2 linked regions of the Coturnix japonica genome follow. The protein of the gene in region 1 purifies or fractionates together with the protein of each later gene. This does not show direct contact. Links are inferred from orthologs where the notes say so. Each region holds a gene or a part of one and is shown in the gene's direction. Other genes may lie near its edges.

Region 1 (3,749 bases):
CCAGCCTGTCACAGGACACGTGTGCTGCCGATGCTTTAATTAACAAGGCCTCCCCAGTGCACCAGCCGTGTGCGGCTGACTGCAGTGATGTGGTGCCCAGCAAGGCACAGCTTCCAGCCCGACCTGTTTCTCCACAGACCCACTTACCAAAGAGTTGCGAGGATGACTTGCAAACAAGAGCTACCCCAGTGACACCGGTCCCTGTGTCGAGCCCCCAGGTCCTCTGTCAAATGATCCCTTTGAGCGGACAGAGCGGTGTGATTAATGCCTATGTCAAACCTTCAGCTCCAACCATCTCGGCTCCCATGAAACCTATTTTACCGCAGACAGCTCCGCTTTCTCAGCCCGTGCTCGTGGGATCTTCTGTGCCTCAGGGGACCGTCATGTTGGTTCTTCCACAGACTGCTGTCGCACCGACGCCGCAGTGCCCGCAAACAGTAATGACTGTTGGGAACACCAAGCTCCTGCCCCTCGCTCCTGCCCCCGTGTTCATCGCTTCTGGTCAAAGCTGCGCCCCCCAGATGGACTTTTCGAGACGGAGGAATTACGTTTGCATCTTCCCCGGGTGCAAGAAAACCTATTTCAAGAGCTCCCACCTCAAAGCCCACCTTCGTACCCACACTGGTGTGTAACGTGGGGTGAGCTGTCGTTGGGGTGCTCAAGGGTGCGTGGCAGCGGGTGGGAAAGGAAAGGGGCAGGTGGTCAGGGATCTTGTGCTCATCTGGGAGAGGAGCAGAATGCTCATTCTCCACGGGCAAGCAAAACAAAACAGACTTTGTTCTGAGACCTCAGCCGACCCCGTAGCGTTGGTTGAGTTTCACATGCTTTAGTTGGAGCAAAGCTTTGCCCTCTGTGTGCATGTGTTTAGATTGGAGTGGAACTCTGCCAGCTGGACTGGATTGCAGAGAATTGTGCAAGTCTTTATTTTGAGCGTGGAGGGCTCTGGTGTGAGCTATCCACAGTGCAGGTAGTTGTTCTTAGTTTGCATGTGAATGAAAGAAAAGGAACATTCCAATACGACCAGTACCACTACGATTAGAATTCCTAGAGTTTTGGCCAGGCTAAATAGGTGTGTGTTAAGATTTTGGGCCACAGTGTTAGGAAGTCGAGCTCCTGCAGGGATGTAACTAGTTTTACGTTAGGTAACTGTAAGTTAGTTATAATCACTGTGATTTGTTCCATAACATCTGGTTAGCATAGAGGCAGTGTAAATGTGCTCTATCTGTTCTCTTTTCAACTCTCAGATCCCGTTAAATCAAAACTAAAGGCTGAGTTCTTGGCAGGGGCTGTTTCTGATGTTGAGGAACGAGCACAGCAGGTGATTGATAAAGAAGAGCTCATCTAAATGTCTTCATTTGTTTTCCCTTTGCTTATTTCCGCCACCCTCTGTGGTTCCATGGCAGGATGTGCACCAATTTGCCAGCTTGTCTGTACAGTTCCTATGAGAACAGAGCTTAAGCTCTGTATGAAGCTGATAATCCTTGTAAACTGGAGCTCAGAGGCAGAATGGTGGTTCTGCTTCTGGTCTGTGGCAGCAGACCTCTCCCTTGGCACGTACTGCTGCTGACCCACCAGGGAAGTTGTGTCTGCTATGATGTTAAGATGAGCACCCGTGGCTGGGGAAGCACGCGGTCCCATCACTTGCCATCCTGCTGTGCAGCATCAGTGTGCAGAGCAGCAGCAACTTGCTTTTCCTGCTTCATCCCACTCACTGAGCAGCTATGTGGGCATCGTGCACACCGAGCCTCGCTTGCCATCTGCAGTAAGAACGCAGCTGCTGTGCTGCATCTTTTCTGCTGGACTTTTTGTTTGACTCCAAAGAGTTTCCCAGATTGATGGTAAAGAGTAGATGTTTATCTTGTTTTTCTTGAGGTCTATGGGGGCTGCAGTCAGCAGATGACATTGTTTAGGACGGGTGTGATGTTAAGCAGTCATCCAGCACGAGAAACTGCTGCTGAAAGCCTTCCTGGCTGCTCTCCTTCCTTGGCATCCAGAGCTCCTGTAGGAGTCTGGGTCTCTGGGCACGTGGGCTGTCTGATGTGTTGCATGGGTGTGCAGGTCACTTGAGCAGGAAGGGATGGAGGGAGTGCTGCAGGGAGCTTGAAGTCCAGCTTTTCTTTTTACCCACAGCATTTGCTCATGATGTGTAGTGCTCATAGAGCTGTGGCCACGTAGGAAGGATGGTCTCAGGGATCAGGTTTTGGTGAAGTTGCTTTTCTTTAAACAAAAGGACACAGCTCTGTGGTAAGACACAGCTTAATGGGAGCTCTCTTCCTTTCACATTCCACAGGAGAAAAGCCCTTCAGCTGCAGCTGGGAAGGCTGTGACAAGAAGTTTGCCCGCTCGGACGAACTGTCGCGGCACCGCAGAACTCACACGGGAGAGAAGAAGTTTGCCTGTCCCGTGTGCGAGCGGCGCTTCATGCGCAGCGACCACCTGACCAAGCACACGCGGCGCCACATGGCCACCAAGAAGGTCCCCAGCTGGCAGACGGAGCTGGGCAAACTGAACAGAATCGCCACGACCGAGAAACCGAAAGGCAGCGGCGCTCTGAGTATGCTCATCCCTGTGCCATCCGTCTGCCAGGGCAGCGGGACAAAGCACCTCCTCTAAACTTACTATGAGTCGCACAGAGCTCTGCTGGCTACAACAGGACTGACAGCACGGCCCTCTTCACCCCCTCAGCGTGTTTGTTTGTACATACTTGGGTTCCCTTCATTGTAGTTAATAATGCTAGGGGAGAAATGGATGCTGTGTCCTCATCCTTTTGTTTGTGTGTTGGATGTTTGGGCGGATGCAATCACCAGCACTTCAGGAAGGCAGGACTCTTTTGAAATGATTTTGGCAATAGGTTTAAACAAGTCAATAGGTTTAAACAAGTCAACGCGCATTGCTTGCTGTTAATATTTGGATGGACAGTGCAACAGGGTGATTTTTAATTTTTGATACTAGTGTTTTCTATACCAAATATATTTTGTATTTATTCCTTTGGATCTTTGTATGCAGGCTGACTTGCCCTGCGTTAGTAGAGTTGTGCAGGATGAAACCCGGGGCTTTGGGAGCTGCTTTCCTGTAAGCCCAACCAAATGCATTCGGTGCATTGTGTGAGCGTGTAATGCTCAGAAATGCGGTGCTGGGGATTTCACGCTTCTGGATTCTGGTCCTGCAGTAGATGGGTGCTGTTAGATCCTCCTTGTGCAGCTGCCGTTGGATGTTGGATAGTTTGAGATAACAGCGAGCTCAAAACCAACCCAACAAAACCACCCTAGAATGACTTTCAGAAATGAAGTGTTGGAATCCTCAGCACTGCATCAGTTCATGCTTATTGCAAGTGGAAGCTGTTGTGGCTACTAGGAAAGCTTGACACACTGCGTGTTCCTGGGTCCCCACTCTGCCCAAGCAAAGCACTGGGGAGCCAGGCTGCTCTGCTGGATGTAGAAGCACAGATGCTGTTCAGCAGCTTTGACACTAAAAACGACGCTTTACTTTCAGCCCCACAAAATCAGAGTATTAAAGTCTACTGAAAGGTAGCAAAAATGGCAGGATAAGGTGTGAGCAATTAGCTGGGTCCGTGTTTGCATTTTGTTTTAAATACAGGAGAAATAGAACATGAGGTTTACGCATTGTGGATGCTGATGCACCTCATAGAAAATTATTCCAGGCTTTTGATGACCCGCATCAAAGCACCAGGACAAATACTGGTCATGTCTTAAGAAACAGCCACCTTTGTCAGCTCGATGATGCTCTTC
Region 2 (3,649 bases), on another chromosome or scaffold:
AAGAGCTACCAGCAGCCCAAGTGCACGGGGCGGACGCCACTGTGTAAAGAGGTAAGCAGCTCCTTTCATGTATCCACCTTTTGGTTGGAGAGGAGTGGTGCTGACTGATCCTGCTCCTTTGCCGGTGTTGGAAGCCCCCTTCCTGGGTGACTGCTGTCAATGGGGAGAACAAACAGGCAGAAGATTATGGAGCATCCCAGTTTTGCCTCTTTTCCTTGAGAAATGAGGATGAATGCAGGTGATCAAGTCAAGCAGTGAGCAGTGATATGTGGTTAATTGGATGGCAGGATAGTGAAAACAACCCAGGCAAGAAAGAACTGTAAGTTTTTAATCTAAGTCCTAACATGTATCTCAGAAGTATCTTGTGTGATGCAGCTGTAAACTTTTCTTTCTGCAAGATTTTAATGTCTTGGTTGTTCAGGCTTCAGGTTGAGGAAAATGAGGCTTGATTTTTCAAGATCACCTACCAGAAGCTTTTGTTCTGTTGCCTTTGGTCTCTTTGAGGTTTTTTTGGATGATCCATTCCTGCTTTGGAGGTTCTCAGCATCTTTAGTCAGGAAAGGCGTTGCTGGGTTATGGATTGATGCTCCTACTGAGTCTCATTTGGAGGTAGAAACCACGTTGTGTCCATTGGTCATGGTTAGCATTATGACCACCTGGTGCTGTCAGTGGTGAATCAGACGTGGGATGAGTGAACCACAGTGAGCCAGTTCTTCCAATGGATCGGAAAGGTTCCTTTCATCTCTCTTTCTCTCTTCCCTTCCAAGTCTTTTCTTACATTTCCAATGGATGAGTTTTCCAGACCGCTGGGTTGTTTCATCTCTGGCTGTTAGAGGTTGCCCTGTGGGTGCTGGGCATCCTCTGCAGTGGAAGGGAGAAGCAATTTTTGCTGCTCCTCCATCAGCAGCCAAGCATCTCTGTGACACTCCCCTCCCAAGACTGACTGTGATGCTTGTCTTTCTCTGTCGTACTGCAAGGTTTTGAATGACACCTGGGTCTCATTCCCTTCCTGGTCTGAAGACTCAACTTTTGTCAGCTCCAAGAAGACGCAATACGAAGAGCACATCTACAGGTGTGAAGATGAGCGTTTTGAGGTAAGTTGTTTTCCTTGGAAGCCTTGGGGTTCTGTGAATAGCTACTGATTTAATTCTATCCTTAATGCTGCTTCGTACAGTCTGTTCTTATTGTCTGTTGCATGTTCTCTGCGTAAGAGCTTGCATTATCTGAAAGCAAAAGGCAGCGTTGGGGTAACCATGTATCTCTCCAAGCTACCACCCCTTTCCCAAGCTCTGTGCACCGAGCTCTTCTCTCACGTCACTTCAGATGGAATTGTTCAATGGACAGCATATAATCAATGCATCTTCTTAGCCCTTTATGCCCGCATAGCTTGTAAGAACACATTCCCCTGTAATAATCCAAGAAACGATACGTTCAGGATGTTAAATAATTGACTTCTTGACTTAAAATGGGAGCTGGCTTGGCAATTACCTGAATGTGCTCAGATCTGTCATGTCCTTTTGTAGAGGAACTGTCAATTGTTTTCTACTCCCATATGGAAGATGTAATTTCCTAACAGCATCGTTCTGGTAGACGTTAAATTCTGACACGCCATTACTTGGGCTGCAGATAAAATATAATTGGATTATTTCAGCGCAGCCAAACGTGGAAACCAGTTCTGAAATCCACCTTGTTAAACACGCCCGGCTTCTTGTTTCATGTCGCTTTAGTGTTAGTCTGTGAAGTATCATGTTTTATCTATTCAACTCTGGCTAACGCACTGTTCGCTTCAGCTGGACGTTGTCTTGGAGACCAACCTGGCAACGATTCGCGTCCTTGAGGCCATCCAGAAGAAACTCTCACGCTTGTCTGCTGAGGAGCAGGCCAAGTTCCGGCTGGACAACACCCTGGGAGGCACCTCGGAGGTGATCCACCGCAAGGCCCTGCAGAGGATATATGCAGACAAAGCAGCCGACATCATTGATGGGCTCAGGAAGAACCCATCTGTTGCTGTTCCCATAGTCCTGAAAAGGTACCACGCTGACACTGTACCCTGGGGGCTCTGCCTTGGTCCACCTTTATGTAGAAGTAGCTGATTTCTGCCCCTGGAGGGTCTGACCTGCACAGGGATGCAATTTGAGAAAGGCATTCCATTCTGATCGGTCACTGTGTTTTATAACAGTCACCTTTTGAAACACAAATGCTCAGCTGGGGGGGATGCAGAGCTTTTATTGTCTCCTCTGAACCTTGTTTCTTCTTCAGCCTTTGCATAGCTTTGTATGTAAGATGAGGCAGCTGTGCCATGTGGATTGTTCAGGGCTGAATACGATCCCTTTCCAAATCCCATGGCTGTGCGAGGCTGTGAGCTCTGGCTGCTCAGGCCTGGATCCTCATTAGTTTCCTTTTGTCAGCTCCCTGCAACAGATCACACAAAAAAAGGAGTGGGGGCTGCAGCTCATTGGAGTTGTTTAAGGAGGAGGCTGTTTACACATTTAATACAGTAATGTGCTGTCCTTATCCTCTCGGTGTATAAACAAGGAAGTGTTCTCTAAAAGCACAACTGTAGCACCACTTAAAGGAGGTACATTTCCCCCCACAAAGCTTATACTGTCTCTGGGGAGGGAAACCACTTTGCCACCAGTACCTGCAAGGTCACAGCGTGCCCACCCTGCTGCAGGATACTGCTCTGTGAAGTGCTCTGGCTGTGCTGCACCAGGTGCTTTGCTTGAGATACTGAGCTGAGGTTCTGGAGTGTGTTCCCAGGAAGCTCAGGTATCCAGAGGTGTGCAGGGGGCTTTGTTTGGCAAAGGGTGTGCGGAGTGCTGCTCTTGTAACACTCCTCTCAGTGGGACTGCTGTCATTGATGCACATTTCCCAAGTCTCAGGCTTTCCTTACAAGCTCAGAGACCTTTATGTCTCTTATCTCACCGTTGCTTTCTTGATCCAAGGTTAAAGATGAAAGAGGAAGAGTGGCGAGAAGCCCAGAGAGGATTTAATAAAGTCTGGCGAGAGCAGAATGAGAAGTATTATCTGAAGTCATTGGACCACCAGGGCATCAACTTCAAGCAGAACGATACCAAGGTCCTAAGGTCAAAGAGTCTCCTCAATGAGATTGAAAGCATCTATGATGAGGTAAGATGGTTTCCTTCCCTCAAGCTTATATAGTCTGCATGTGCAGTTTTAGTTCCTTTCCTTTTGGTGCTGGTGTGGTTGGGAAGTGAGATGCTCGCTGTGGAAGGGCTGTGCTCTCCGTGTTGGGATATCTGCTTGTGTTGGAGGCTTGTCATCCTGCTGGTAGCAGGTGGGCTCCATTTCTAGAACAGAAACGGGGTGGAGAAGGTTTGTAAACAGGAGGAATGTTTGTGAACTTCTGGCATCTGTCGCAGAGAGCCTTCTGGCAGCAGTGGGAGGGAGGCCTGGTGCTTCCTCTGTTGCGAGGGGGTGTAATGAGAGAGGAAGTCTGTGTCGTTGGGAGAGCTTTCTGAAGATTTGTGGGCAAAGGAAGGTGCGTGTGGAACTAATTTGTGTCTTGTTTCTCACTTGTAGAGGCAAGAGCAGGCTTCAGAAGACAATGCTGGGGTTCCCACAGGCCCACACCTCTCGTTGGCCTATGAAGACAAGCAGATCCTGGAGGATGCTGCTTCCCTCATCA

What was found.
Region 2: the proteins of KLF11 (region 1) and SIN3A purify together in Homo sapiens (affinity purification with western blotting, with the first as the bait; 3 studies listed by BioGRID). This does not show direct contact. The link is inferred for Coturnix japonica from reciprocal best matches to the Homo sapiens genes KLF11 and SIN3A.

The regions. Positions count from the first base shown.
Region 1 is NC_029518.1:88,047,069-88,050,817, forward strand, and holds part of KLF11 (Krueppel-like factor 11), read left to right. Parts: coding exon 1-624; intron 625-2,290; coding exon 2,291-2,613; 3' UTR 2,614-3,749. UniProt on the Homo sapiens protein: Transcription factor. Activates the epsilon- and gamma-globin gene promoters and, to a much lower degree, the beta-globin gene and represses promoters containing SP1-like binding inhibiting cell growth.
Region 2 is NC_029525.1:1,969,184-1,972,832, reverse strand, and holds part of SIN3A (paired amphipathic helix protein Sin3a), read left to right. Parts: coding exon 1-51; intron 52-977; coding exon 978-1,094; intron 1,095-1,790; coding exon 1,791-2,029; intron 2,030-2,945; coding exon 2,946-3,129; intron 3,130-3,543; coding exon 3,544-3,649. UniProt on the Homo sapiens protein: Acts as a transcriptional repressor. Corepressor for REST. Interacts with MXI1 to repress MYC responsive genes and antagonize MYC oncogenic activities. Also interacts with MXD1-MAX heterodimers to repress transcription by tethering SIN3A to DNA.